Linked DNA regions of Mytilus edulis. The protein of the gene in region 3 interacts with the protein of the main gene of each other region in a biochemical or structural test. Links are inferred from orthologs where the notes say so. Each region holds a gene or a part of one and is shown on either strand. Other genes may lie near its edges.

Region 1 (6,955 bases), on a different chromosome or scaffold from region 3:
TTATGTAACATGAAGGATTTGCATACATGGCATACAAAGTATGAAGCATCCAGGTATTTTACCTTCATACTGATGCTGCTACAAGATAGTAATCCCCCTGTCTCTGATTCTGTGGCAATTAAGATTAATTGATTGATTGTTGGTATTTTAACACCACTTTTAAGCGCCACTTTCGGACTCATTTGTGGCGTATAGGTGGAGAAAGCTGGAGTGCCTGAAGAAAACCACAGACCATCAAACAGAAAATCGACAATCCTCAATTAATGTTGGAATGATGTTACATGTAATGGTAAATTTTAATACATGATGGTAAAATGTACAATTTCTTTTAAACAATAAAAAATTGACTGATTTCAAGAAATCCAGTTAATTTTTTACCACAAAAATAAGGTAAGACCAAAAAAAAATATATGTCTGTTTAAGGTTACATCATCAAAATAAATAGGGTAGGTAGGTCGGTATTTCCATTTTATTATTTTTTATCATTTTATTTTTTACGCCATGATTTTGAGTTGTGTGGTCCGTCTTAAGGTGGTTTGAGTTGTCCATGGGCTCAGTTAACCTGTATTTTTAATGATTGAATTATTTCCTTTTGTTATTGTATGTATTGGTTGGAGAAAAAAAGGCGGCAAAGTTTTTATTTCATTACACGAGTTGCGAGTTTCCTTAACTTAAAACAGCTGTCATATTCAGAATTTCACGATTGTGAACATTGGGATGTACCAGGCAATTGATTAAATTTATTGGCAATCCTTACTTTGCTTTTGACACAAGTTCTATTAATTTTTCACTTTACGACGGAAATAAAATGGCTTAGGGTCGGTCGGGTAACTGTAAACAGAGTGAATTTTTTTTTTTGCCTAATGTATGTATGTACTCGAGATTCCGCCAATTTAGACGCACCCCTTGATTGACTGCAAGGGTACAGCGGATCCATGTAAATTCCCTAAGGATTAATGGAGATGTGTCCTTTACAATATTATCCCACCACCAGAACAATCCCCACCCAACACCGCCCAAGGGAGCGTGTAGGACACCGGGAAGTCTGTTATTATGGTGAAGGAAGCTGAAGTACTCGAAGAGAACCACCGGGCCACTCAGTGGAAACAGACAAACCAGAGAGATATCAGAAGATTGATCTCCAGGTCAAAGTAGGGGACAACTTTGACCAACCGAGGCCCCCAAAGTACCCATTCTAGTTTAAACTCCGGTGTGGGTACCAGAGATGTGTGTGAGAGGGTGAAAATTACCCTTCTGATGTACTGATATTTTTAGCACCCCGAGTGAGAATTGAACTCGGGACCTTCAGCACTGTAGCCATCGGTCTTAACCACTAGACCACGAACTCACACATGAGATTTTACCAAATCCTTGGTATGTTCGAATTTAGAATACTGCTCTTCAGTTTGGTCACCTCACACCCAAAAACAAAAAAACAACATTGAAAAAGTACAAAGAAGGGCAGCATGCTACGTCACCAACAGGTACCCCAACACCAGTAGTGTAACTTCCATGATTGACCATCTTCAATGGAAGTCATTTGAAACTCGCAGACACATCAAGCGAGTAACTATGCTGTACAAAATCTCACACCATCTCATTGCAGTAGATCCAAACTTTTACCTTTTACCACAGCCAGTCAATAACACCACATTCACTAATTCATTACAATACATGTACCAAACATTTAGCACAAGAACAGATTACTTGAAGTACAGCTTTTTTCCATTCACAGTTGTACTTTAGAACTCACTTCCAGGGGTAGAAATAAGAAAAGACCATTGACTTGCAAGTCAATATGTATATTAACTTGCCCTTGTATCTGTTAACTTGCCCGACTAACGAGCATAGCTCGGCGCACTTACGGCGAGGGGTCTGGGGTAAATGGTGCCAAATCCTGCATTCTAGACCTCTCCTGGCAGATGATTTCAAGTTTCTATACACCCTTTTTTAAACAAAAACTTTTACTTTTACAAAAAAAAGTGACAAAAAAATTTCAGATGTACATGTAGAAACTGACCCAATTGTCAAATTTCCTGTAAAAAATATGCTTCATTCTAAACAATGCAATTATAATTTATTTTACATTTTACAGCAATACTATAAGAGCTTGTTTCTACATTGAATGAATTTGAAACCTTTAATTTTGTAAAGAGAGTCAGCCTGTTGAAGACCTTGTGGTGACCTCTGAATGTTTGCTGCTGTTGTTGTTCCTAGTGAATTAGGTGCATCTGGTCTTTAATACTCTTTATGTAACTAACTGACAAATTCAAATAACAATAGGTAATTGTTCACTGCAGAAATGAGCACATTTAGTATGCTCAGCTATAAAGGTAAAGAATTTAAGATAGAAGTGGATGAGAATATTTTAATTTAATTATGTATGTCTGACTTTTCGTGAGCATGTATATTGTCCTTTTTATAATTTGTACATCCTATTACAAAACTGCCACTACTTCCAAACTGAACGCAAACCTCACATGTCATCCCCTTTTCTGTGTCTTTCAGCCATTTAAATTCATCCAGCCATTTTGTTAAAAATTTACGTTTTCTTTTTCCCTCTTCATATTTTTTTTGTTGCTCAACCCTGTTGACGTTGGATTCTTTAAGTTTTTTTAAAGGGGGGACATAATTTACTAAAAAGTTTTCCATTTGTTTCTTTCTACTTTCATTTTTAAATCAACTCAAAAGTCGTTTGCAAAACGCGTTCTGATTGGATCATTGTATCGACTTCCTTTCACAATTAGTAGCGGAAATCCCCGAGCAGGTGCGACTGAACATTCTAAAACGACGGCGCTCATTGGCTTACGCATAGGAATTGACCAATAGAATTATTCGGGACAAACTACGATGTTTACGATTTTCCTGGCATGCGCATATGAAATAAATAAAGAGGGCGAAAATAGTAATACAATAATACACAGTTGTACATCGTACAAAATTACGTCTGACATAGTTATACAAATATTTTATTGGCACAAATTCATTAACAATAAATGGTTAAGACCTATTGCATATATTATTATATTAATTGACATGATAGAATGAAACGCAAACACAAAATTTCAACTTGCCCGGCGGACAACTATGTGATGAGATTCACTTGCCCGCTGCAGATTTTACTTGCCTCGGGCAAATGGGATAGCGCTTATTTCGAACCCTGCACTTCCACAAAACGTTATCAGTGTTAACTCCCTGGATCAGTTTAAAATACTGATCCAGAGACTGGCAGAGTCAGTATATTTAGATATCCATGAACCTGTTTGTAAATATGTAAATGTGTTAATTTGTTTTGTTTTTGCACAAAATTATTTTTTAATTATTGCATTCATTAGTTATTATATTTTATTAAGTGCATGTCTGTTTACAATTCGCCGACGTATAGTCATCAATGTGCTGATGGATCGTCGTAAATGTAGATGTAGTTTGAAATGTCTAAGGAATCTCGATATTTAGGATATTCTGACATCAATTTGAAGCTAACGGTAGCCAAAAATAACCTTTGACGCTGGAGTGTAGAGTCAATTCCTACCTCAATCAAACTTTACTCACTAAATTATTTACTGTTATAGTGTTACCAGGTTAAAATAACAGAAATTTACATGTTCATAAAACTTGATCGGCTAATCTTTGAAAGGTAAAGATTACTTATTTTAAAACATTGTGGTCTGATTAATTGTTTTATTTAACAAAACATGAATGACATTTGCGTCGTAATTCTCTAGCAAGGAAATAGTAGTAACAAAATAGGTTTACCTTTCGCTGCCAAGGAAGGAATGAAGTTTACCGGAAGTCGGTGTAAAAGTCAAAATTTAGAATATAATTTGTCTTCGGATATTTTTTATTTTTTATTTGACAAATAGGAAAAATGTACGAATTATTTTTAATTTGAAGCCTGTCAGTATTTTTTTTATCTTTCGCCAATAAGATAATCATACGAAATTTTAAGCGGAAGTGCTTTATTACGCACTGGGTACTTTCACAATAAAAAAAAAAAACAGAAGACCAAAATGATTAAGTTGTTTTCACTAAAACAGGCGAAAAAAGACGGTACCGATGGTGGAGAAAAATCAGGAACACAGAAAAAAGCATCAGCTGCACAGTTGAGAATACAGAAAGGTGAAATCAGAAATAGTGTCTGAGAAATTCAACGAATTTATCACATTCCATTGATTTGAGTAATGCCATAAAGAGGGAATTAAAGTCATTTTGTACCCTTAACCTTTCGTACTCCCATTTCTTACCCTGACAGAAACCACTTAGTACCCTGACCATTTTGGTATTTCATGGAATAATATGAGGCAGGCATAACCTGTGAATGGGGACGAAGTCTGTATGTATTATTTTTTTTTTTTACCTCAAACATGTTAATAAAGGAAACTGAAATACCGTAACGTTCCCGATTTCGGTTCTGTGGTTAGGGATTTAGCTGTGACGTTGTTTAAGTTATGACGTCATATTCAATGTAAACAAAAGAAACGCTTCCATCAGGTAACGTTTTTTTCAAATCAAACTGTATTCTGTATTCTGTAGGTGTCGCTGTTGACACTGGATTGTCTCCCTTGTAATTATTTAAATCTCGCGTGTATTAATATTTCACTCTGGTAAACAACTCACTTGTACTTTAAAATACATACTATTAGGTGGCAACTGTGCTTAACATATTTTTTCCAAAAATTAAAAAATATATCTACATTTATTAATTAACATGAAAATTTAAAGGAAAAGAAAGAAAAAAAAAATAAAAAAAATCTAACATTACATTAATCAAACCGGCGCGACTCGCAAATAAAGTCACCCAACAATCGCATTAGTGTTTCATTAGAGACGGAGACATTGTCGTTTTTTTCTATTGACAATAAAAGTTCCAAATCAATATGTAACGATCCTGTGTTGAAGTATATCTCATGTATAAGTTTCTGTCTTGCCTCTTCATAATTTTCACAAAATAGTAAATAATGTTCCACAGTTTCTAATTGACCGCATTCACACTTTGGGTCTATATTTTGATTGATTTTGTTTTGATAATTTTTTAGGTAGTATCCGGATCTTAAATTTCTAATAATTTTTGCTGTTTTGTGATCTGGATAATTAAATGTCGATTTATTGCTGACAGTCTGATGAAAGTTATAATAAAATCTTCCTGTATCACTATTATCCCATCTATGTTGCCACTTTTTATTTACTAAAATTCTTGCTGCTGTTTTAATATCTTGTTTAGTTACTGTAATATGGGCTTCTTTCTGAATTTGATTTGCCTCTTTAGCTGCCTCTTTAGCTAGTTTATCAGCTATTTCATTTCCTCTAACATCTGCATGTCCTGGGGTCCAATCAAAATTAATTCTTATTCCATGGTGTTTTTGGATACATTTAATAAGGGAAATAATTTCATGTGAAGTGGATCTGTTATTTTCAATTTTCCAATTTAATGTTAAGATTCCAATTGCTGTTTGACTGTCCGAAAATATTTTTACTTCTTCAATTAATGTTTTGTTTTCAATTCTGCTTACATAATCTAATACTAATTTAAAATCAATAATAATAAAATCAAACAATTATTAAAAATGAAATTGTATTGAGTTCCAATCTTATATTTTACTAGACTGATACATATAATTTTCTTTTCAAAGTCTCATGCAAACAAGACAGATTTCTGCGCAAAGCGGGGAAAACCGGAACAGGAACTAGATCTGAAAAAAAAAGTTAACGATTTTGAGTTCATTAGTAGAATGAAAAATTCGGGAAATTTTCCCGATTTTTTTTTTTTTTTTTTTTTAATAATTGATTTTTCTACCGTAATTGGGGACTTCGTCCCCATATTAACATTTCTCTAATTTTTGTGCTATTTTGATCGGTGTGAGAAAAATATTTTTCCTCACTAGTGAGATATCCGTTTTCGGTAAATGATAAGTCGAAATGTGATTATGATGTCAAAATGTTTTGTTTTCTTCTGAATTTTTCTATTATGACGTCAGGAAAAAAAGTGACCATGCATGATGACGTTGCATATGAAGACATCTCCAAAACATCAACAAGAATTAAACAGATGTACAAACAAGGTTCAAATGTCCAAGAAATGAGTGACACGTTCAAGAAAGAACTATTCCAAAGCATGGACAAACATATACCAGCCAAAGAATCCGCTCAAAAAACAGCCTTCCCTGGATAACACTCAAAATAAGGAAAATGTTCAAAAAGAAAAGCTGATTATACCAACATTGCAACAAGCTAAAAGAACAAAAAAATGGTCAAATTACAAAAAGAAATCAAAAGCCAAATAAGAAAAGCTGAATGGTCATATATCAACAACACCATACTAAAGGGCCTAGAATCAAACAACACCAAGCCATTCCAGAAATACAACAAATCCAGAAAAAATGACAACATTTGAGCATGTTGAGTAGCCCCATCAAAAAACAAAGGGAAACTCATCAGCGACAGTAAAGGGAAAGCTGAAATACTAATACAGCTATTCAAATCAGTTTTCACAATAGATAAAGCCACAACAATACCAGACACAACAAAGCATATTAAGGAAACCATACCAAACCTCATAATAACAGAAAAGGGACTAGAAAAACTGCTAAAAGATGTCAACCCATCAAAAGCTTCTGTACCGGATGGATTCTCAAACAGAATTTTGAAAGAATGTGCAAGTCAAATTACACCAGAACTGACAGCAATCTTCCAAAAATCTATAGACACTGCAACCCTTCCTCAAGACTGGCTAAACGCAAACATACATGTATCATGCGTTTAAAAAAAAAGGCGATAAACACGCTGCTGAAAATTACAGACCTGTATCGTTGACATCAGTACCATGTAAGATCCTGGAACATATAATATGCAGGCATATAATGAAACATCTAGAAAAGCATACTGTGTTAACATCTTTAAACCATGGTTTTAGATCAGGTTACTTATGCGAAACCCAAGTACTTCAAACCTATATTGC
Region 2 (7,743 bases), on a different chromosome or scaffold from region 3:
AAACTTCGGCTTCAAAACAAGAACTTTAATTACCTGCCATATTTTCACAACAACATTGACTGATTGAAAAAAAATTTGATGATTGTATGAAATTTATGCAAAAAAAATGATAAAATCGTGCACAGAAGACTAAGTTTATGATGTTTGTATGGATTGGTTCAAGAATTGGAATAACATTATTTTTCACCAGTCACTCATTTATTATGACTTTAAATACATCATAAATATCAAAATATAAAAATGTCAATTAGTCACGGTTAAAATTAATATTAATTAATAGTATTAGTAACTTCTAAAAAAATAAATGAAGAATGTGTTCAAAGGGACACAGATGATGCCCCCGCTAGCATATAACGTTATAAAGGGACATAACTCAAGAACTGTAAAGTGAAGCTGCCAAAAATTGAACTTAAACTGGGTTTAGAGGTAATAAGCATTATATATACAGATTTCATTAAATTAAGTGGAGACAAACTTAAGTTGAGAGAACAGAAACTAAAAATTCTTCAATTTTTCCATTTTTAAAGGGGCATAACCCTAAAATGGTATAATCAAAGTGCTTGTAATCACTGAATGGTAAAGATTGCTTCAATTTATCAGTTGGTAGTTAAGTGAATATTGCATTGTATATTGTATTGATTTAAGTTGATTCAACCTCTATTCTGGACAAAGAAAGATAACTCCAATTTTCAAAGAAGATTTCATAAAGCATTGGTTTTAGCGCATAGGTGATTTAACAACCATTCTGGACAAAGAACGATAACTCCAATTTATTGTCTTGAAACTACAAAAATGCTTGTTTTTGGTCCCTTGTTGGCCCTTTATTCCTAAACTGCCCCATAACTCACAAAATATATATATCCTAACCTTCACTTATGATATAAATATGTCATAAATATTGTGGTACAATTTCAAAACAATTGAAATACTTATACACAACTTTTTGTACTGACACTAGATAAATGCTTGTTTTAGGCCCCTAATTCCTAAACGTTAGGGACCATAACCCCAAAAATCAATCCCAAGCTTCCTTTTGTGGTTATAAACATTGTGTTAAAATAAGTTATTTTCCGGAAACCATCCCTCTTCGGACAACGCTGACGACGATGACAACGTGATACCAATATACAACCACAAAAATGTTTGCTGTCGTATAAAAATCTATAGGATAATACTTTGCAATTGAAGATTTTTTCACAGAACTTTTCAAAAATTTGAAATTTAAAAAATTCTGAAAAACAAAAATATGAACCCCTTTGAGAAACTGGAACCCCCAAAACTTTTTGAACCCCCTCCTTCTTGGAGCAATTACCCCCAAACTCAATCCCAGCCTTCCCTATGTGGTATGGAACTTTGTAGTAAAAATTTAGAGAGTTCCATACACTTAAATACAAGTTATTGTCTGGAAACTAGAAAAGTGTTTGTTTTTGGCCCTTAACCCAGAAATCAATCCCAACCTTCCTTTTGTGGTATTGAAGCTTGTTGTACAATTTCATGGACATACACTGTAGCATTATACAAAAAATATGTGCAGTCGTATAAGAAAAACGACTAATTTGGGGAACTATCTGACTTGTAAGTGGGACTTCATCATGTTCATAGTTTGGTACAGACATGACAGGGGACTATCATGACTATCCGACACATTTATGTTTGGTACAGGACAGGGGTCCATCTGACTAGACTAGTGAGATATCAATGTTTGGTACAGCCAGGACAGGGGACTATCGGACTAATTATAAGACTTCAAAGTTTGATACAGATCTAGACATGAACAGGGAACTATCTGACTAGTGAAACATCAATGTTTGGTACAGACATGACAGGGGACTATTCAAATAGTGGGACTGCAAAGTTTGATACAGGCATGACAGGGGACCATCTGACTCTTGGGACTTCATAGTTTGGTCAAATATGACAGGGGATTATCTGTCTAGTGCATGTAGTGGGACATCCATGTTTGGTACAGACATGACAGGGATCTATCTGACTAGTGGGACTCCAAAGGTTGAGACAGGCTTCACATTGTATTCAGTGGGGGACTCATTGGAGGGGGAGGGGATCTGATCCTGGATCCTGCTTACAGTTTTGTCAGAATTCTAACCTGCTTTTCGTTGCCATAATAGTGCATATAATTTTCTGTGTACCACCCGGCTTTGTTTCCAGATTTCACGCTTATTTATTAGACTTTCACGAATCATTCTTAAAAAATCAGCCAATCCTGTGTCACACTAAGAACCCTACGAGACCCACTTCAGTAAATTACATGTGAAACAAAATAGGTGATCTATTTTTCTAACATGTCTCATTTAGAATGTTTAGGAATAAATTTCTCTGTTTTCTAAGTTTATTTATTTATCCCTCCCCTTTTTTTTTTATTAAGATACAGGTCCAATAAAAGACCAACATCATCACCAATGAGTAGTCCAAATAATTATGACGTCTTGAAAGGCTATTATAATTTTTTTTTTTGACGCCTTACATCGATGTAAGGCGTCAAAGAAAAAAATTATAATAGCCTTTCAAGACGTCATAATTATTTGGACTACACCAATGAGATGTTCTTTGTCTTAAATTCTTAATTTCTTTGTCTATGTCTATGGGTACGTACCCAACCTTTATTTCGATCCGTTTTCTTAAATAACACAGAGGTTGGAAGGATTAAAGAAGTTTTAATGTCATTAATTATTTATATAGTTAGAAAGCGTGATTATGACAACTTAATAGAAACTGTGAGATCGATAACATGCAAAGCGAATAGGTCGATAAAACAAAAACAAGGTAATGCATTTGTGCTTCAGAATTGTATAATTTGGTGAATCACCGAAATTTCTGGCAGTTTGTCGTCTTGAAAGACATCACTTGGGTATTTTCTTTATCCCTGCATACAACAAATATATATATCCGTGTTCCTTTTGCCAGAATCTGTCGATTTCATGCTGATTGTCAGAGAGAAAGAATAACAAATGGTGGACTTCCTGTCGATGTGCGATGTACGTCATTAGAATATGTGCATATCTCCTTAGTTTTTACCGCGGGGAAATTTAATTTTTGTGACAGATAGATATTACAAATTAGAATCAAGTAGGCTAGTTCAAATCGGAATTGCTATCTACTATAACTTAATAAAACTAATTTAAAAGTTCAGATGAAATTGAAAAAGTATTAATGAACCAGAGACATTACGTTTTCAACAGTCGCCTTTTGTTTTGCATAAAAATACTCACGGTTTGTATGTATACATGTAAAACACGGGGGTAACTTCGATATTTTTTTGGTAGGGGTGTACCATTTTTGCCTCAAAAAACCTACCCATTTTAATATAACATTCACTGAAATTCAGTACCTATAGTTATATAAATATTTAAGAAAGAATGACCTATACTTATATACAATATTCAAAATATGACCCATGCTTATATATAAGCACTAACTCATCATCACTCATAATTCATAAATATACCAGCTACCCTTAAGTTTTTATATATGAATTGACATCGTTAGGTGCACATATATGTTATCGTTATATATATGATATGTAGATGACACTGATACCCCAAATGATCCTAAATCAATATACAGTTATCAAACGTAAATGCATTTTAATATAGGATGTCATTAAGAAGGTGGGTCATTTTTATATAAAATCTTGCAAAATTATATGACCCATATTTTTGGCACATCCCCGTATACCCAATAATAGGAAGTTACCCCCCCCCCCCCCCCCCCCCGTGATGTAAAATCAGTTACTTAGTACAATATTAATCTCCACTGATGCCCTTTGAACAATTCAAAATATGCAATAATATAATATACATTTACATACAGTATTTTTATGCAAAACAAAAGGCGAAAAACATACGGAATAGGTTCATGAACATATGTTGTTAATGTCAGATGTACAAGATACCTTTATGGACTTTTATATATTAGGTAAATTTCATTTGATAATTACATTTTTAGTTTAGAAACAAGAAATTACAAAAACTTTTTTTTTTTAACTGTTCTATCGTTTCTATCTTTTTTATTTAAACAGGAATACTATTCCAAACAGAGGCGGATTTAGAGGGGGGGCCCAGGGGGCCTGGGCCCTCCCTTTTTGGGAAAAAAATTTGGTTGCTTATATAGGGCATCACTGAAGTGTGACTGGAGCGGGCCCCCTCTTAGGTCAGTCAGTGGGCCCCCACTTATGAAAATTTCTGGATCCGCCACTGCCAAAGAACGTTAACTGTACCGGAATATTGAAATGTTTCTTCATATAAAATTTGTTCTCGGACGTGGTATGAAAAGACATTTATTGTCCGATGAACCCAAAGAATATCTTGCCTTAACATTTTGGTTATTTTCGTTGTTTGTGATCGGCGCATTTTCGCTATCGTGATCCGTTTTTCAACAGATATTTTTTTTTATATGAGACAATATCTGAAAAAGTCTATAATTTCCATGTCCCGCCTTTCACCAGCAATTATTTTTTTATTCAGGCATCTTTTTGGAAAATTTTAAGTTTCAGTACTGATTAACTCGAGTAAATAATGCACCAACTGCAACCAATTAAACATTCTTTTTAATATTTCATCTAATAAAATATTATAATATAAATGGTCAACCCCCCTCCCCCCAAAAAAAATCATGTTGTCCCCTGTTATTTTCTGAAAATTGAATCATTCAAAGAATATCTTAATTTAAAAGTAAGCAGCTTTCCAATTTTCACAAATCTGATAGATTATATAATATACTTCTCCATTACTGGTCTTATTTTGTTATAACTAAAGCATGTAAGAAAATTTTGCATTTTTAAGGGTCTTTTGAATGTTGTCCCCAGGGGTACTTTCCCTCCTGTTACCGCTGGGGGTTTTCCACCTGTGGACACGTTTGAAAGACCAAAAATTTATTTCTTGTAATGTAATGTGAAGAGCATCATTTCCTGAATGTATGAATCCATTTGTTTAGGTGAATAGCAGCCAGTTTAAAAAAACTGAACTCCCCAAAGATAAGAATTGGAGAAAAATAATTTTGTTGTTCTCTCCTGTTACAGCCTTTTTGTGTACCTTCTGAGAATATTTCATTGTCAGCACTATAACAGTACATGTGTTTTATACTAGTATCTTATCAAATTGATATGTAGATGAAAGTAAACTTCTACACAATTCGAGTAAATGAACAAAAAGGACTGCGTAATTCCTTTCTGTTACATTCTGTCATGTTACCTAATAAAAAGAAACAGCATAACCATAATCAGTAACAGGAAGGATGTTCAAGACAATATCACTGATGAATCAAAATATTAATCTACTATATGTCAACCATTTCATTTAATATAAGTTATCATCACCATATTAAATAAATTTCATAGTAATATACAATATATTGAATGAAAAAAAATAGTTTTTTTGCTTTTGATAACAGCAGAGAACATTGTGCAATTCTATAGTATAGTAGATAGTAACAGAAAGGAATTTATTTTAGAATTTTTCATTACCTAGGCAGATTTTTCATCTGTCAAATACAGTTTCAAAGGATAAATGCTATTGTTTGCTGTTATCTTCCAATGGTGTCCAATCTGAAATAATGTATTTTTCTTTTTTGAGAAAAAAATCCTTTCTGTCCTGTTACCGTTGTCCTGTTACTCAAAATTCTTTCATGTTACCGACATCTCTGACTATATTTTAGTATATTTCTTAATCTTTTGTATTACAAATGTTAAAATCAATAATTGGCATTTACTAAACTATTACAGGATATACTAGTAAACCACAAATAGTGTCTTAAAATTATTCCTTATTCTCATTAGAAACTTTTTAAAATTGATTCATTTTGGAAACAGGAAAGAACTGGAATTATTTTGTACCATTTTTGAAATTGCAATTGTTACCACATTTAACAATTGTTTGAATTACAGACAACAGTTCCTAGATCCCCAATGTGTGCTCTTCGGTTTATGCTATTATAATACCGGGTCTAAAGACTTTTTTTTTGATTTTTTCTTATTGCCAAAAATTAGACTTTTTCAGATATTATCTCGTATATATTTTCGTGATCCGTGATCATGGAAATTTAGTTTCTGTGAATCGTGATTGACAAAAACATCAACTCGTGAATCGTGATATGAGACCCCCCCCCCCCCAAATCAGGCCCCTCGTTTATGTCTCTGATATAATATAGATCATAAAATAATAGTATTGTATCACAGTATGTTAAAACTAATTCAAATCCAATAGTTCTAAATTAGCACAATCATTGCTTTTACAAGTCTGATCTCCACTCCAGTTTGCAACTTGCGCGCACATCTTCTCTAGGTCAAAAAATGAAACGTTTTTACAAAATGTCTTTAAGTACATGTTTAACTGTATATAAAAATTGCCGTTTTTGAAGAGCAAATAAAATAAATATGACAGTGCATGGCTGTTTTGCCATCCCTGATTAAAATATCCTAAATTAATTCAAGTCGGTAAAATAGTCTATAACTCTAGAAATGGCTATTTTACTAGCACCAGCAATAGAGTGCATTTCTTGCAGAGTGCTGGATAAATAGAATGTTATTTTTCTGTATCTAGATATAAGAGGAAGCTAAGTCACGGGTAGTAAGGTCGTCATATCGAGGAGCGTTTAGTACAGTTATTTTGTCATAGTTTGGATAAGTTTGACATGATTAATTTATGTTACTTCCCTAAACTATTGCCTCAGTTCTATTCACACGAGCAGATAAAAAGCAAATAAAATGCTTGAATCTGTATTGGAGGTCAAACGATCTATATTGGAATTGTTGTTTCACGAAATTAACGCAGAATAAGCAAGATATCGGAATTGCTATGGTTTGGTTAAGCGATTGACATGGTTCGGTTAAGAATCTAGAAATTCGTCATGGTTTTGGTCAAGTTTGTCATGGTTTAGATCGAAATAAATATATATATGTGTTTCACTCTAATACTAAAAATTGATTGATAGCGCCTGTTATTGAACGAAGTAACACTATATATTAACTGCCTGAGAAGAAAAAAAGCCTGTTTAACCAAATTTAGGGGGTGTAATCGACAAAGCGTAAATTAAACATGTCATGTGACTTTTCGTAAGTTTTTTTTGCAAAAGAATTTAAAAGTCACTGCTATTTTAAACTAGCTTTCGATATAAGTATACACAACAATACAAAGCGTTGCTTCTGTTTCACATAGAGTCTTTTCTCCGTATGTCCATGCTTGGCTCTGCCGGGGATATCGTGAGCGGCATCACTAGTCAAAGAGCTAAAGACTCCTACTCAAAAGTTGCAAAAAAGTAATTCTCGTTTTTACATTTTCGTTTCTAGAAAACTATAAATTTGTTAGTTTTTCTTTATTTTAAATTTTGAACCAATTTATGATGAATAAAAGGAGATGTGGGGTTATAGGTCCATGATACAGTAACCCAACTACAAAACTAACCAAAAGATATTGAGAGGACATCACAAGTCTTCAACCATTTACGAAACCGAATCGTTACGCCTGACATGGACAACAGTTTTAAAACTTATTGGTTTTAAAACTATATGTGAAAATACAATAAAAAGTACTTTCAAAGTTCGAATTTTAAATATGAAAGATCACAATTCCGATTTGGATTTAAGCCGACATAATGTTCAAGTTTATCAATTGTTATTACGAATCAATAAAAATCTTTATAATATTGTATAAATGCATCGTGTAGTATCACTAAATTCTTTCAATTATTTTACATTTTATGTAATATAGTTTCTATAATATCTGAAAAAAA
Region 3 (7,766 bases):
ACATTCGAAAAAAAGGTATTTCAACATAGACGACAGCAATGATCTGTTTACTGCTACATATACCTCCATGTACTTTTTAGATATTTTTTTTTTCTCTTTTATAAATCTAATACCCCGTTCGCATTTTATTTTAATCCCGAAGATGTCACCAATAAATGTTAAATTATTTAAAACGTTAATGTTGCTCTACCCTAGACCATATATTGCCTTCATTGTACTAGTATTCGACACAATTTTTTGAATATTTCAATTACAATTCGTTTAAACTTTGTATTTGATTCGAGTTACACTGACGAGTCTTATTTAGATGTGACGTCCGTCTGATGATCAAAAATAAGCCAGGTATATTTGATGCGTTTTTATTCGAGCATAATTATTTTATCTGAGTTAAACGTAGACAGTGTGGATCTTTTAAAAAGGGGGCTAGTCCGATTTAAATTACCCCTTACTTTAGGCGATCTCATTTTGATTTATTTGCATTCTCAGTGTGACAGCAAAGTCACGCGTTACAATAGTTGACAAGTGACACTTCCTGCAGCATATCTAAATTAGAGGATGAAGCATCCTTAAGTGTAGTAGGCAACAACAAAACAGAAATGTTGATATTGAAACAAGCTATTATCATGCAAAGAATGCATTCAAATCCATTCAACCAGCAGACATTTTGTTTGTAGTTTTTATTTTGGTTGATGACAAAAACCTAAAAAAGGTGTAATGTTAACCAATGATAACTGTCTCGGGTTTAAAGCGGGCAGATTGTATATTGTGAACATTGTATACATGTAGATACATTGAAGTGAATGTTTTGTAGAGACTGCTTTTATAAATGCTATGTTGTTTGGTCTTCGTATCAAAAGTGCTACTTTGCTATAGACATATATTTTTTATGATTTTTTGAATATTAATGACAAGGTTATGTATGTGGCTTTCCATCACAAAGCAATTCCAATATTGAATTCTCCCCCTCTCCATTACATCAGTTTATACTTCTGACTTCTGCGTTTATTTCAATCAAGTAAAAATATAAACATATTTGTAAGAGGTAATTGATTAATTTTCCATTTTACCACTACTGATTTCAATTTTGCGCAACTTGATCCGATGAATCTGGAATCATTTTTCACTTGTAACACCAAATATTTCCTGTTGTGACTGAAATAATTGTGGAAAAACTTAAAATTCACGTAATATTTTTCAACGAATTTCTTCAAATCTGCTGCTTACTAATCTTAATCACTGATTTGCGCTCAATCATTTAAAAAGTTGTTAATAATAATTGTGTTTTTATAATTAATTGTATTTTTAATATTATTCAATGCATATTGTTATATTGATAGGTTAGTATTTAATATTTATTCCGTCCTGTTACATTGTTATCATATTGTTATTTCACAGACCTTTTCTTAACGTTCCTGTGTAGTTAGTGTGCCAGTCATGTAGGGTACGAAACGGAATACAAATGCTCGATAAGCCTTGTAATTCCTACCGGTTTCTGATCCTCGATCAAATCATTGTTATATTCCAAAACCGTGTAATGACATTCTTCTTTTATATATATGGCAAACATGTTTTTTGCGCAGTAAAATTGTATTGACTGGTATATAATTAATTTGTGGGTGTGCTTTGGTTTTAACGTGAACAATGTTTCATCAGAATATGATTTTAGGAAGTGAAGAAGCAATAATACGCCGGATTTTACACTGTCATTTTCAGTTCCAAAATTCACAATTTTCAAACACAATATTTACTGTTGAGCGTGGCCATACAAAGTATCGCATATATAATAGATGGTTATATTCCGTATAAATCTCAGTAGTGTACAAACAATCAACAACAACAAAAAAGAAAAAAAAATGACAACCATAATTCAAGTCCATTATTTTTTTTTCTGTCTTTCAAAGTTGACAGCCATGAACAATTGTACAAGTGAAGAAAAAAAAACCAGTTAACTTTAATTCAAATTCAAAAGAAATCTTACACTTCTTTTAATGTTATTTTCTGCAATGACTGACAAGTTCATTTATCTGAATAACTAGTAGTTACAAGTAATTATTTTTGTAAACCATTACTTCTTATCATAGATTGTTATTTTTATAATACATGTATATATGTGCTGTCTTACATTCTTACCTAATAAATAACTGTGATACTTTTAATTAAGTTTATTGTTGTTCTTGCGATGAATAGAATTATGTAAGTTTCGAATAAGAAAAGAATCTGTATGTCACTGGGGATGTTAAAAGCGTTTTATTTTTCTATGAAAAGAATGCATGGCTATTTTATATAGGTATACGTCAATGAGACAATAACCCAACAACAGAAAAAAAACTACAAAAGACATCCAGGCAACAAAGTCCGAATTCAGACAGATAACTCCACCTTTTGACATATAGCTCTTTAACGGTTTCGGTACTTATACATCTTCGGATGTCAAATGTTTGGCTTTGAGCCTTCCTGATGAAGGTAAATCCAGAAAAGCTATTCGGACGCAAGAAATTAATAACGTGATGTTTTCAAATGTTTTTATTCCAATCGTTAGAAAGAATGGTGTCGTATGTTAGCGGTCAAATCAGACAACCTACCCCAAATTAAAAATAACAAAAAGTTTTACGGAATACAACATACATCAATGCAGAAATTGCACTTCACCTAAATGTCTTATATCCCCTGTGATAGTGATGTAACAGTACAGCATGATAAGAGCAAACTATAAAAAACTATTGAAAACAAAATCATTCCATTGACGAACATATGCAAAAACAATGACACAGATAACGTATCTTGTAATTCATAAGGTGAATTGTCATTGCATGTGAATTTCGATATAAACAATCATGGTATATACATGCATGAGATACACTTGAAATGGTAAAGGAGACTTGAGTATTTGCCCCCAGCATAAGACCGATTGATTTTAGTTATGTAACCAATTTGCCTCAATCTGTACAATTTCATCAATAAATTGTGTCTTGATATGGCATCAAATGAATCAATGAAGTAAATAAACATTGTCTTTTAGATAGCTCTTTATATAGTAAATCGCATTGATACAATGCTCAACTCGATAGAAATATAAACTGCGCATCATTGATATTATCATTACTATCATATCAATAGCCATGTGTATTTTAATTCGACGTAAAGATACTGTCGCGAAATTGCTTACAAAACTGATTCCACGATAGTTGAAGGGATCGGATGAGGGACCTGGAACAGTACTGCAATTGTTTAAGATTGTGGAAATGTCCAGACCTGCATGTTGAACATTTCCTCCATCCACAGTTGCAGAATATCATTCCATTCAAGAATAGTTCGTTAAATGGTCCGTTTCTACTATGACTTTTAAGAAGTTTTGTTAAGAAAAAAACCCTCTTCGGAATGCCATTAATCTTTAGAAATAAATCGATCAAGTTGGTCATACGGTGTAAAGGAAAACGTATCTGAACTATTTCTTAAATGTGTCAGAATTTTTGGGTCGCTTAGAACTACTGTAACAGCTTATAGAATGTTTTATTTTGTTGTTTCTGTGCAATGCTCTATCATATATATCACTTAACTCTTGGCGCTTATACCTCCGTTTTAAGTTATTTTCATTCCATTGACACTTTTAAAAAAAATAATGAATTGTAACTTTTTCATCAAAGGAGGGGTATTTTTTTTACTCCTATTAAACAATTAATCAAGATCAAATTATTGAACTTCCTATCCATGAAGAACTATGCATTTCCTCTAAACACGGTAGCAAAATATCATAGCATTCAATGAATATGTCATTAAATGTTAAAAATGTTCTGTTTGCACTATCATCGGACTGTTAAGAATGTTGGTCGAAAATAAAATAAACCCAAAAACTTGTATGTGTAAAATACTAAGCATATTCCACAGATATTTTACCCGATTTTTATTACAGTACTAAAAGTTGTCAAATTTTGTTAAAAAACTTAAGTCGTGAACAAATAAAAAGAGCACATAGGACCATGATATGCAATTCAAAACCACAAAAAAAAAAACTTGAAGACATTACCATTACCGAAAAAAAAAGAAGAAAATTTGATAACGCTACAAAACTTAAATTGTGCAACATTAACCTCACCAAAATCTTGTAAAATCGGTATCATGATTTCGTAAGGATAAGCATTTTCCTGTTCCAATAGCTGCACCTGTCGTGCTTCTCATAACAAGAACAAACGGTGATAAGTTGAATTTGGTAAAAAGACATTTACTTCAAGTGTTTTTTTTTTATTGAGTTAATATTTGAAAATATTTGGAAAAAAGATATATGAAATTCTCAAGAAATAAAAATAATAATATTAAATATAATTTTTCAATCATGATTGACAGAGGTATTCTCAAAATCAGTACATTAGCTTGAACTAGTTTTAAAGTTTTTCATGTTCCAAAAAACTACATTTCTACTCATACCATGTTAGAATTTAGAATTTAGATTGAATTGGATTGTAAAGTAGACTAGAAAACTTGCTGCTCGCAATTTCAGATGAATAGGGAAACCAGTCTGGTTAGATGATACAATAGCAGTGAGCAGACAACCAGTCTTAATACTTTATTGACGATGACCCACTTAACCCCAAATCAATGTGCATATTTTTAAATCGTTGCTACATTGAACTACAAACCGTATTTTTCAAGAAAACAATTTATTTCTAAATGTTGAAATATTAAAGAAAGTCTTTGATTTCGACCAACACTCACGAATCATAATAATTGTTTAGATCTATTTTTGTTTGCGGATAAATGACTAAATGAAGATCTGTTGTTTGGCTTTCATCGAGAATGGTTTAAAAGTCAACGGCGAAAATGCCTGAGGAACACATTCAGAGACTCAAAACTCTTTTGACTTAGTCTTCTAAGAATTTCACAAATCAGCTTTTATCATTTCAGTTTATTTGGTTACCCATTCCATTCTTTATTTTATAGTTAATATATTTGGAAAATGAGTCGACAGCAGCCTCGCAAAGACACAAAAATGCGAATCAGAGCATTTCCAGTAAGTATAAGACCACATAGAAAGTCCCACTCATATATCATTAAACCAAAATTACGTATTTTTTTATTGCAAATCCTTGTAGACACTTATTTTCGAGAAAAAAATAATATTTGGATCATGAAATAAAATGGCGGACGGAAGTGGCATAATGAATGTAAATAAAGACGTCTGCTGCATGGGAAACTCTATGAGGACTTCTAGTAGGCCTATAGTTAGAATGTTCAATCGACAATTAAATACAACCAATTAAGATATATTAAACTGTCATCAACTGTAATTGTACACATTTTATGAGTAAGACAGTTGTGTGCCAAGCTGTCCCACAGTCCTGCCATATTCTGGACTTTCTCTTTGCTAGTGAATTTTGAGGGGAACTTTGAGACCCATTTTTATTATGACATATCAATTAGATCTTGTAAACATTTTTAACTTTTAATGAAAATTTCATACCAAAATTGGATAAGTTTAAAAATTAAGCACAATACTGTTATTGAACTTATCGATAGTACATCATTTCTAGAATCATGTCTTTCTCGTACGCCTTTATGTATCATAACCAGATTGATAGCGAGTCTGTATCCTGATCTATTAAAAGTTTTCAGCACTTTCAGAATCATCATTCTGTAGGGTAGTATAATGGAAATAATTTATGTTCTGTAAGTACGTAATTTTAATGTTCCTGCCACTGAGGGAGGGTGACCATCTCACAAGTTTTTAATTTTCAAAATATTTTGTGCATTATAAAACTTTTTCACACGTTGGCTCAACATGTGTTGGAAATTACTGTACCTACATTTTGGTAATGTGGTGATGGAAGTCCCATGACAGATTTAACTAACTACTGCATCCCTGAAGTGACATATTTTTTATGTAATCAATATTCAATTTTAAGTTTAAATATTTCCTTTATTCTTTCTAGATGACAATGGATGAAAAATATGTTAACAATATTTGGACATTGCTGAAAAATGCCATTCAGGAAATCCAGAAAAAAAATAACAGTGGACTTAGTTTTGAGGAGTTGTATAGAAATGCCTATACCATGGTATTGCATAAACATGGAGAAAAATTATACACTGGTTTGCGTGATGTTGTCACAGATCATTTAGTTGACAAGGCAAGTAATACTAATATTTGGTTAGGAGAAATATATGTCTTATTCAAGCTGGAATACTGGACCATTATTCTAGCAAGTTTTCATAACAGTGTGTTCATAAAAGATATCTTTCCCAAAATTAAAAGATAACATTTTGTGAAATGAGTGCTAGTATAAAACTTAAAATCCAATTCCCCCTGGCTTTTTTCATGAAAATTTGGAAATTGATGATGTTAGATGGTGTTTTTATTAAATTTATCATTGACAGTAAGTAAACAAAGTTATTAAATTATAATCTGTCTATATTAACAGATAAGAGAAGATGTTCTTTCAGCATTGATCAATAACTTTCTGCAAACGTTAAACAGTGCATGGAATGACCACCAAACATCAATGGTTATGATAAGAGACATACTGATGTATATGGTAGGTATATATAATTATTATATCCCAATCACTGTCAGAGTGTATTTTAATGAAAGACTGCAAACAACTTGTTTTCCATTTCTCTATCGTTAATAACTCCACTTGTGTATTAAGCATGGATTAGCTGTTTGTTCATGCTTCATAGTTTTGAAGTTGACTGTAACCTTATTTCAGATCTGCAACACAGTCACTTCCTGTTTGACAATATGCTAAATTTTTATCATACACACTGGTCATGGAATATCTTGTTACATTTTACTCAGACTCTTTATTCTCAATTTTATCTAAAAGATAATGTGTTATTTCGATTGGAATTTCAAAATGATGTCAGTGAGTTCATCAGTGTAAGCTATTTTAAGATAAGCAGAGCAGTCATGTCTTGTTTGATGATTATTTGAATTATCATTCTACCAGCTCAGCATGGATTTTTCTTTATGATAAATAACCAGTGGGTGTATACTTTTAAGACATTGCAAATAACTTTTTACATGAATAAAAAAATCATGGCAGATATTGTCATGACATCATCGAAAGTTTTATAATTTTCCTATAAATATCAATTTATTTTGGGTTTAGGACAGAGTGTATGTTCAACAAAATAATGTAGACAATGTGTACAATCTTGGACTGATGATATTTAGAGAGAAGGTTGTAAGACATCCAATGATAAGGGACCATCTCCGCAGTACATTGTTAGAAATGGTAGCAAAAGAAAGAAGAGGAGAGGTGGTCGACAGGTAAATTAGTGAAAATATAGTCACCAGCAAAGATAATGACACAAATCCATTAGTTAAAAACTCTTTATATACAATTAAAGACATCATACTCCCTCCTTAAAGGGAAGGCAGATGCATTTGAATTGAAGTTTGTAATGTTCTTAGTTCTCAAAATGACATATCTTTAAAACAAGTAACTATCAGCCATTTTTTAATCATGAAAAATATAGTCATTTGTTCTTGAACTTTGTTGATGTGGACTCAGTTGTCTGTTGAGTTCCAGAATTGTTTAATTTATGGTTTTACTGAAAGTTAGCCACATGTAATCTGTCCATGGACAAAGTTATAATTATCAACCTGATTTTGTTCAACTATGTTGCATGTTACATGTACATGTATTTGAGAAGTTACAAGGACTGTTATGTTTTTAGAATAGTTTTTTTATGAAGAAATCCTCATAGAATAGGGTCTCACTCGAAAAATTGGGACGGTAAGTCCCTATTGGATATTATTATTTTATTTT
Region 4 (7,636 bases), on a different chromosome or scaffold from region 3:
TATCCACTAACTGGTTCACTGGTAAAAGCATGAATTCTTCACTTTCCATTACCTGTAATGAAACAGATATACATCACAAAATTATATGTACATATACATTTATATGAGGTATTTTTAATCAAATAAAAACTTGATATCTAGAGTTAAAACTACAATGTATTAGTCCATGAAAAAAAAACATACATGTTTTGGTTATGTCGGCTCTTAACACTAAAAATTTGAGACCAGCCCTTTATCATCTATAACTACATGTATCGTCACAAGTTGCCTTCATATTAGAACAGTGGAGGATTACTTATATATTTAATGCTACATGTAGTTTAATCCTGATGTTTTCAGGATATTTATAAAGGATTTTGAATTGAATTGATCACATAGTCCTGTTGGTTAGAAAATTTGTTTTAATACAGAGTAGTACTTTACCTCTTGAAAATTATGTTGGGTAAATTTATCCGCTATCCGTAACAAATCTCTACATGCATGTGTATCAGCAAATGCTCTTATACCAAGACAATTTGATGGATCTAATTGTCTCTTAAGAAATTCACAACAAACATCTTGTATTTCAGCAAGCTGTAATAAACAAGCTGCTGGCAATAGTGTTTGTACATTACTTTCTTCCACTGTTATGTTGGATGTGTAACAAAAGTCAATGAGGAGTTCCATAGCTGCCTCATCAATGTCTCTAATTGTCACTTCTGTCTGTCTACTCTCAGCAAGTTCACCTGTAAACATGGCATGAAAATATGGACTGCACGCAGAGAGTATCACACGATGAGCAAATATTTTCCTTTGACCAACAATAAGGACAACATCACATAGTTCTCTGTGTTTCCTTAAGACATTAATTGATTCTAATGTATGTCTTGGATGTTTATCTGATGTGTAGGCAAGTCTGGCAGGAGAAGCAGCTCTCTCCATTTTGTTGTTCATCTGATAGATGATGCTAGTTCTACTTTACAGAAAATTATTGTTTGGCATTCCTTTCTGAAATGAAAATGTTGCAAAAGTAAAATACAATATCAAACAAGTCGTAATTGAAAACAATGCTTAAACCTATGATTGTGTTTGATTAAAAACTGCAATTTCTTTATGTGTATGCAAAACAATTTTTTTTTAGTAGCTAGAGGGGTCTAAATACAGCACAAACAACATTTTTCATAAAGACCATGAAGTAAAAAAATAGATTTTAACAAACACATTTGACTCCAGCTGGTCAAACAACAGATGTTCTTACATGTAAACACTGCTCACTGCCATTGAGATTGCCTAATAAACAGATCACGTATTCACCAGATGTAACATATATATATACAAGTATATACAACCTTAAAAACAACATCAGCTGTGTGACCTGTGTCCATACAATTTGAAATATATGAGCCAAATAGCATTGTCTTTTGTAAACATATTTCAAATTGAGGTAGGTAATAAACGTTAGATTGCTTTATATTGCACAACACTGACTTTGCTTCTTATACAATGTACAATTGGTATCTGCACAGTTAGGTTTATATGTAGTTTGCTGAACTGTAAATAAGTACAGCACAAAAAAATCCTTTCATCAAATCAAACATCATTTAACTTTTTTATTCCAATATTTAATAACATACACATGTACATTTGTACATTAATAAGATATGCAAAGACAGGAAATACTGTCTTTCTAAATTTTGTCACAGTAAATTTTAAAAGGCACAAAATTTCACCTTAGATTAAATCAAACTTTCCTGCATAAGCAGCATAGAGACAAACAAGCAAATTTCCTTCAGTTAAAACAGCACCAACAGTTGTTTCCTCAGAAATTTCTCCTCAAAAAAGCATAAACCTGTTTAAACACATTAACTTTGCTTTTATACAAATGTACATTTTGTAGCTGTAAACATGGTAAATATATGTTTATTTAGATAAATGAATTGCAATCATATACAATTACTGTCTTTTGATGAGGTAAATATGTGGTTTTTATTGAATTGGAAAAACTGATATTCACTAAGGCCAACGCCCAAAGTGAATGTCATTAGGTTTTTTAAAAGTCAATTAAACCACATATTTACAGAAACAAAAGACAGTAATAGTTTAATTCCATGTTCAGACAGAGAAAAATATGTATGTATTAAACAGTTATTTACCTAAACCAATTGTATGTCCAACATTTTACTGTTATTGTACATGTAATAACATGCAAAGATTTGCGTGGTGAATATCATTCAATATCCAATTCATATAAAAAAAAACATTCTAAAATTAGATCAATATAGAATATCTTAAAATGTTATTCTTAGTTGTATCTATGCTATTAATGATTATGTTCATAATTGAGCTTTCTTTAATAAAATATTTCATATTTATTAATTATAAATGACAAATAAAAGATACCATAAAAATTAGGATTTGTAAGAATAAGTTAGAAAATATAACTCTGCCCATATGATATCTAGTCTGCAAAATCATCATGTGTCAAATGGGGGAAGACTATGTTGTGTACATAGAGTAAGACATCTCTATATATCTCTGATGTACCCATGCATTCTATGTCCATAGCCAAGTGAGTAAACTGATCTAATCATCAATATTCATAATATTTATGTTCAAAGTTTTTTAAAATATTTTTTATGTTGCTTCCATCATTATCCATTCTTCTTTTATTCAGTTTCGATTTCATCAAGCTATTAATCTATTAACACAGTTGAGCTATCAATTACAACTTACAAATATAAAGTTTATTCTGGAGTTTTTGATAATCTTCCTGTCTTTTTAAATATTATTTTGATTAATATTTGTTTAAACTTCCTCTGTAAAAATTATCCCGACCCAAATAAATAAATAAGGTTTCTCGATTCTACTGATGAATTTGAAGAAGACGTGTAGAAATCATCATCTGGGTTCGAAAAATATTGAACTTAAACAAACCATTTGACCTCTCAGTCTAAAATGTAGTTAAAGTAAATCATTTTGTAAGTAAAATATGTGACCATTTGTTGACATTCTTCTGAGCCAAATTTGGAAATAGGAAGTTAAGAAATCGTGATATGACATAAATCAACTTCGGTCTATTCGATAGCATCCGGATTTCATATCGGTATGGTCAATGCATCACCATTTGTATAGTATAGTTCACCTGAGACTACTGTTATCGTAGTCTCAGAGTTCACGTATAGTTAGTATATAGTTCCTTAGTATGGTGTATTTCTAATAAAACATTGGCAATAGTACTACTATGCCCAACAAGGAATTGCAAATTCAGGGCCGTAACTACATTGACTGAGGCAAATGAGACAAATGCCTCATGTAAAAAAAAGGTTGTTTTCATATCAAATTGTTTTCACGGAAAGTGTCTTGCAAGAAGCAAGTTCTCTTCACTCTCTGGTGTATCCCCTGGATGTTTTTCGTTATCCATGTTTCTATTTCCTTTTAGTTTTCAGAGTTGATGGCCTATTGTTTGTACTTTTGTGTTCCAGGTTTGACTTTTGTTCATTTATTGTCCTACTTTATGACTATAGTCTGAGTGTTGACTTTCATTTGTAAACGTGGTTTTGCAATGTTGCATGTCCACCGATGTCCAGAATTGTGCGAGAAATATATTTAAGAACATGCGATGCTACTCAGTGGACACAAAAAAATCATACCTGTCCTTTCTGCATGGATAATTGAAATTGATATCAAAGAATAAAAACAGTTTGTTTTATTGTAAATAAAACTAGATAGCTGACATGGTTTGAATTAAAGTAAGGTCACATATTTCCCAGTATCAAATAATTTGAAGAAAAAAAACAAGGTTTTGCCATATATGACCTTTTACATTGAAAGGTTAAATTTGCATTAAGTCGTGCTGAGACCCTTTAACAGATAATAAAGGAGTATGGGGACATAATCGCACACAAAGCCAATGTATAGAAGCAATACAAATGATCAATGGTCAAAGTTTGTGTTCCTGCCTTTCATCTTGATAGTTGCCGTAAGGTCTTCAACAATACATTTAAAGAATCATCAACACCGTAAAACAAGGTGAAGATGGTCCCTAGAGTGGACTTAAGCAGTACTAGTTCTTAAAGTATGATACTGCAATGTCACTATATTTAAATCTATAGTCATAATAAAACTCACCCAAGTCTAATCACAATACAAGTCAAGAACAGACAGACAGATACGGTATTAATAATTACAAGTACACACCCGTGATATCGCGGGTCCGTGACTGAATTAAAGTATATAACTATGCCTAAGCCTTATTTTAGTAATTGGTATTGTCATCTGATAAAGTCATGTCGATTATAAGATACACAGTTTTCTCTGCTTTCAAATCTTTCTGTTTGAACCCGTCGACCTGGAACTTATCAATTATTGGAAATATTAATTATTTGGAAAACAAAAGGTCCAGGCTATCCAGGAATGGGGTATTTTTTTAATCAACAGCATTGTCCTATATTAGTTATCTTAGAAAGTCTTGCTGATTGCAGAATAAAGCTACAATAGGGAACAATTTGACAATGATTGAATTTAGTAGTGTCAGCCCTTTGATTATGACCCGTGTATATAGCAAAATCCTAAATACACCGTTTGGTGGTGCGCCTGTCAAATGCGGAATGTACAGATAAGGTAATAGCTAACAGGTGAATATACTATTGGTATCGGTATCGGATTAGACCCGGAACTTGTTAATTATTGGCAATATTAATTATGTGGAAAACAAAAGGGTCTGGAGTGGTGTAATTTTTAATCTACACCATTGTCCTATATTAGTTATATATAGAGTTGAATTCTTTGATATGTCGTTTTTACCCGATGACGGCTGACAAATTGGACCTCGTAATTTTAGTATTATAGATGAGAATAACGATTTTTGCTTTATCCTACATATTGGTCTTTTAATGTTGTCTCTAATACCTAAAAGTCTGAAATTACAATGAATCTTTGCTTTGGGACCTGATTGTCGAAAAAAATGTCTAAAAATTAATTAAGCCGTTTCAATGCAAGAAAGAGTCTGGGAAAAGCTCAGAATGCACGATTTTGCGTTATTTTTCTCAGAGCTTCTGGGGCCGCCTCGCCCAAAATTTTTCGCCTCGCTCCACTCGGCAAATATATTTTTCCTCACTATTAAAAGAGGCTAGTTACGGCCCTGGCAAATACCCTTTCTTATCCCATTATAAAACTGAAATTTTAGTGACAATAATCAGTGTTTTTAATAAATTCGTGACACTTAAGTTTAATTTCCAGAAAAAGATACTTATAGTTAAGTTATGAATACAACTATTCAATATTTTTGCAATACTTAAAAGTAAAGTGCATCATATGATTATACAGAATATTTAATTTGCGTTATAAGATCTTATAAAGCATTCCTCAATATGTGTTCGATATTCGCTTGCATTTTAACATGCTCTAGGCTAAAGATGGTTTCTCAGAACTTTCCATTTCATGAAACTCTGATGTTGTCATATTTTGAATTAACTATCGTCTTGCGGTAAATGGTTAATCTGGACGTTGGATCGTTTTGAGACACAAAAATTAATAAAGTGAAAAGTAAACACAAGTTATGACAGCCTGAGACATATAATATGTATTAGATGTCTCTGGTTATGATCAATAAATATTTCAAAAAGCAGGGATCCTTTTCCAGTATGTAGTACGGTGACCAAGTAAGGAAAAGTCGCTTATTTAAGGAGTTTAATCGTCATTCAGACTATACGGCTATAAATCACAGTATTGGTAGTGCAAAGGTTACACTTCACATTTTGACTTGTCGTCAAAAAATCGTATGGTGCAATTTTTGTAAAATGGGCTTTGAAGTTCATTCCCTTATTTTAAAGAAAAACTTACTTTTATAAGATTTTAGGCCTACATTCTTAAAGTGCATTCTTGATATGCTTCTTGTTATTATATATATTGTTGTTACATCTTATTTTAACAATTACAAAAAAAGTTTAGCAAAATTAATCCGTTATTGAAGAGTTTTTGTAGATATTGAACACTACGAGTATTTCCATTTAAATAATAGAGTAAGTTTCAATTCATTTTCATCATTTATTTTTTCGCAAAATGTAAAATAATCAACATTTATTTGATATTTCAAACTTTTATTAAACAAAAGTTTCAAAATCCTTTATCTCAGAAGCATATTTTGACTTGTACATTGAAACAATATATACACTATAAAATGAAGATACAAGTTTTCCTCTTAAAATTCGACTTGTACAAAAATATTGAACCGGACCGATACTGTTATTTTCATCTATAAATAAACTCATCATAGATACCTAAATTTAGTATATACGCCAGACGTAAATGATTTTTTGTATCAGAAAGATTTTTCATTGCTAAAATTTGTTCAATTCGATCGTTTTTGTTAGTTCATGGTCCCATTTCGGGTTGGTTATCGTGTTTTTATGTATTTTTAAAAAGCTTTCTTATTTTTGTATGTTTACTTGGTATGTTTATTTTTTTTTTAAATTATTTCAAAAATTAAGAACCAAGTCTGAATTTGGAAAATGTTTGAATTAGGAAGTCCTTTACGATTAGGTCCTAGTAGTCAATTGTTATCAAAGGATTATAACTCATTACGCTAGACGCGCGTTTTGTCTACATAAGAATCATCAGTGATGCTCAGATCAAAATAGTTATAAAGCCAAACAAGTGCAAAGATGAAGAGCATTGACAACCAAAATTCCAAAAAGTTGTGCCAAATACGGCTTAAGTAATCTCTTCCTGGGATAGGAAAATCCTTAGTTTTTCGAATAATTTAAAGTTTTGTAACAGGAAATTTATAAAAATGACCATATAAAAAAGGCAGCACATGTGTTTTAACTTTGAAAAGTTTATCGTTTGAAAGAGAAGAAGTACTGAATCACTTCCTTTACTATAAAGAGTAAACGTTGCTTTTTAAGTTCTGTTGAAAGACTTAATGATGGAATCTGCCAGCAATATGTTGAAGCGTATGGGTTTTTTGTTGAAATTCATGATTTGGTGAACCAATTCGACTCTGATGTCTTTTTGCACTTTCCCTACCTCCGATTGGCCCATCACTCACAACTTAGACCAGTCTGAGAGGTTGTATCGCATTGCTTTTTAAAAATGTATTGATGATAACAAAATTAAAGGATTGGTGACCTTGCAGCTGACTATTATAAAAATGTAACCCTATGCTTTTCTCTAGCGCACACACTAGCAGACATTTTTTACCGCTACGATATGAAACACTCAATAAAGTTGTCTGCTGAAAAGGAAAGCCGCACAAAGACTACAGCTTCCAACAAGTTGTATCAGATTATTGAAGTGAGAAGGATTCCTGACTGGAAAAAAAAATTCTGTTAAAGAAAATCAACAGGCTCTCCATAATTTCTTTGATACTTTTTCTTTCTCAAAACTATGACAAGTCTCCTTCTACCTTATAGTGGGCTATACTTAGCCGGAACGTTTGTAAATCAGAAATTGTAGAAGTTATTTTAAACAATAATGTTAATTGTAAATGACTGTCGTAATTTGGTTAGCACTCAACAAAGGCCAATACTCGTATGATAGTTAATGCCTTATAATTTGACATAAAGTTAACAGAAATAGGAAAGAGCGACAGAATAATCATACGGACCTCTGATACGGGTGTAATTGTTCTGTATGTTCACTACTACAAACAGATACA

Evidence for each region.
Region 1: the proteins of cullin-3-A-like (region 3) and NEDD8-conjugating enzyme Ubc12 form a complex in vitro, tested with the Homo sapiens proteins (2 studies listed by BioGRID, with this or other methods). The link is inferred for Mytilus edulis from reciprocal best matches to the Homo sapiens genes CUL3 and UBE2M.
Region 2: the proteins of cullin-3-A-like (region 3) and DCN1-like protein 3 form a complex in vitro, tested with the Homo sapiens proteins (3 studies listed by BioGRID, with this or other methods). The link is inferred for Mytilus edulis from reciprocal best matches to the Homo sapiens genes CUL3 and DCUN1D3.
Region 4: the proteins of cullin-3-A-like (region 3) and kelch-like protein 20 form a complex in vitro, tested with the Homo sapiens proteins (2 studies listed by BioGRID and IntAct). The link is inferred for Mytilus edulis from reciprocal best matches to the Homo sapiens genes CUL3 and KLHL20.

Annotation. Positions count from the first base shown.
Region 1 is NC_092350.1:42,402,016-42,408,970, forward strand, and holds the start of NEDD8-conjugating enzyme Ubc12, read left to right. Parts: upstream 1-3,943; 5' UTR 3,944-4,010; coding exon 4,011-4,119; intron 4,120-6,955.
Region 2 is NC_092352.1:76,468,836-76,476,578, reverse strand, and holds the start of DCN1-like protein 3, read right to left. Parts: upstream 3,001-7,743; 5' UTR 2,825-3,000; intron 1-2,824. UniProt on the Homo sapiens protein: Contributes to the neddylation of all cullins by transferring NEDD8 from N-terminally acetylated NEDD8-conjugating E2s enzyme to different cullin C-terminal domain-RBX complexes and may play a role in the cell cycle progression by regulating the SCF ubiquitin E3 ligase complex, after UV damage.
Region 3 is NC_092346.1:79,309,267-79,317,032, forward strand, and holds the start of cullin-3-A-like, read left to right. Parts: upstream 1-4,740; 5' UTR 4,741-4,951; coding exon 4,952-5,005; intron 5,006-5,924; coding exon 5,925-6,122; intron 6,123-6,413; coding exon 6,414-6,527; intron 6,528-7,103; coding exon 7,104-7,264; intron 7,265-7,766. UniProt on the Homo sapiens protein: Core component of multiple cullin-RING-based BCR (BTB-CUL3-RBX1) E3 ubiquitin-protein ligase complexes which mediate the ubiquitination and subsequent proteasomal degradation of target proteins.
Region 4 is NC_092345.1:63,003,254-63,010,889, reverse strand, and holds the start of kelch-like protein 20, read right to left. Parts: upstream 3,028-7,636; 5' UTR 2,713-3,027; intron 988-2,712; 5' UTR 934-987; coding exon 424-933; intron 53-423; coding exon 1-52. UniProt on the Homo sapiens protein: Substrate-specific adapter of a BCR (BTB-CUL3-RBX1) E3 ubiquitin-protein ligase complex involved in interferon response and anterograde Golgi to endosome transport.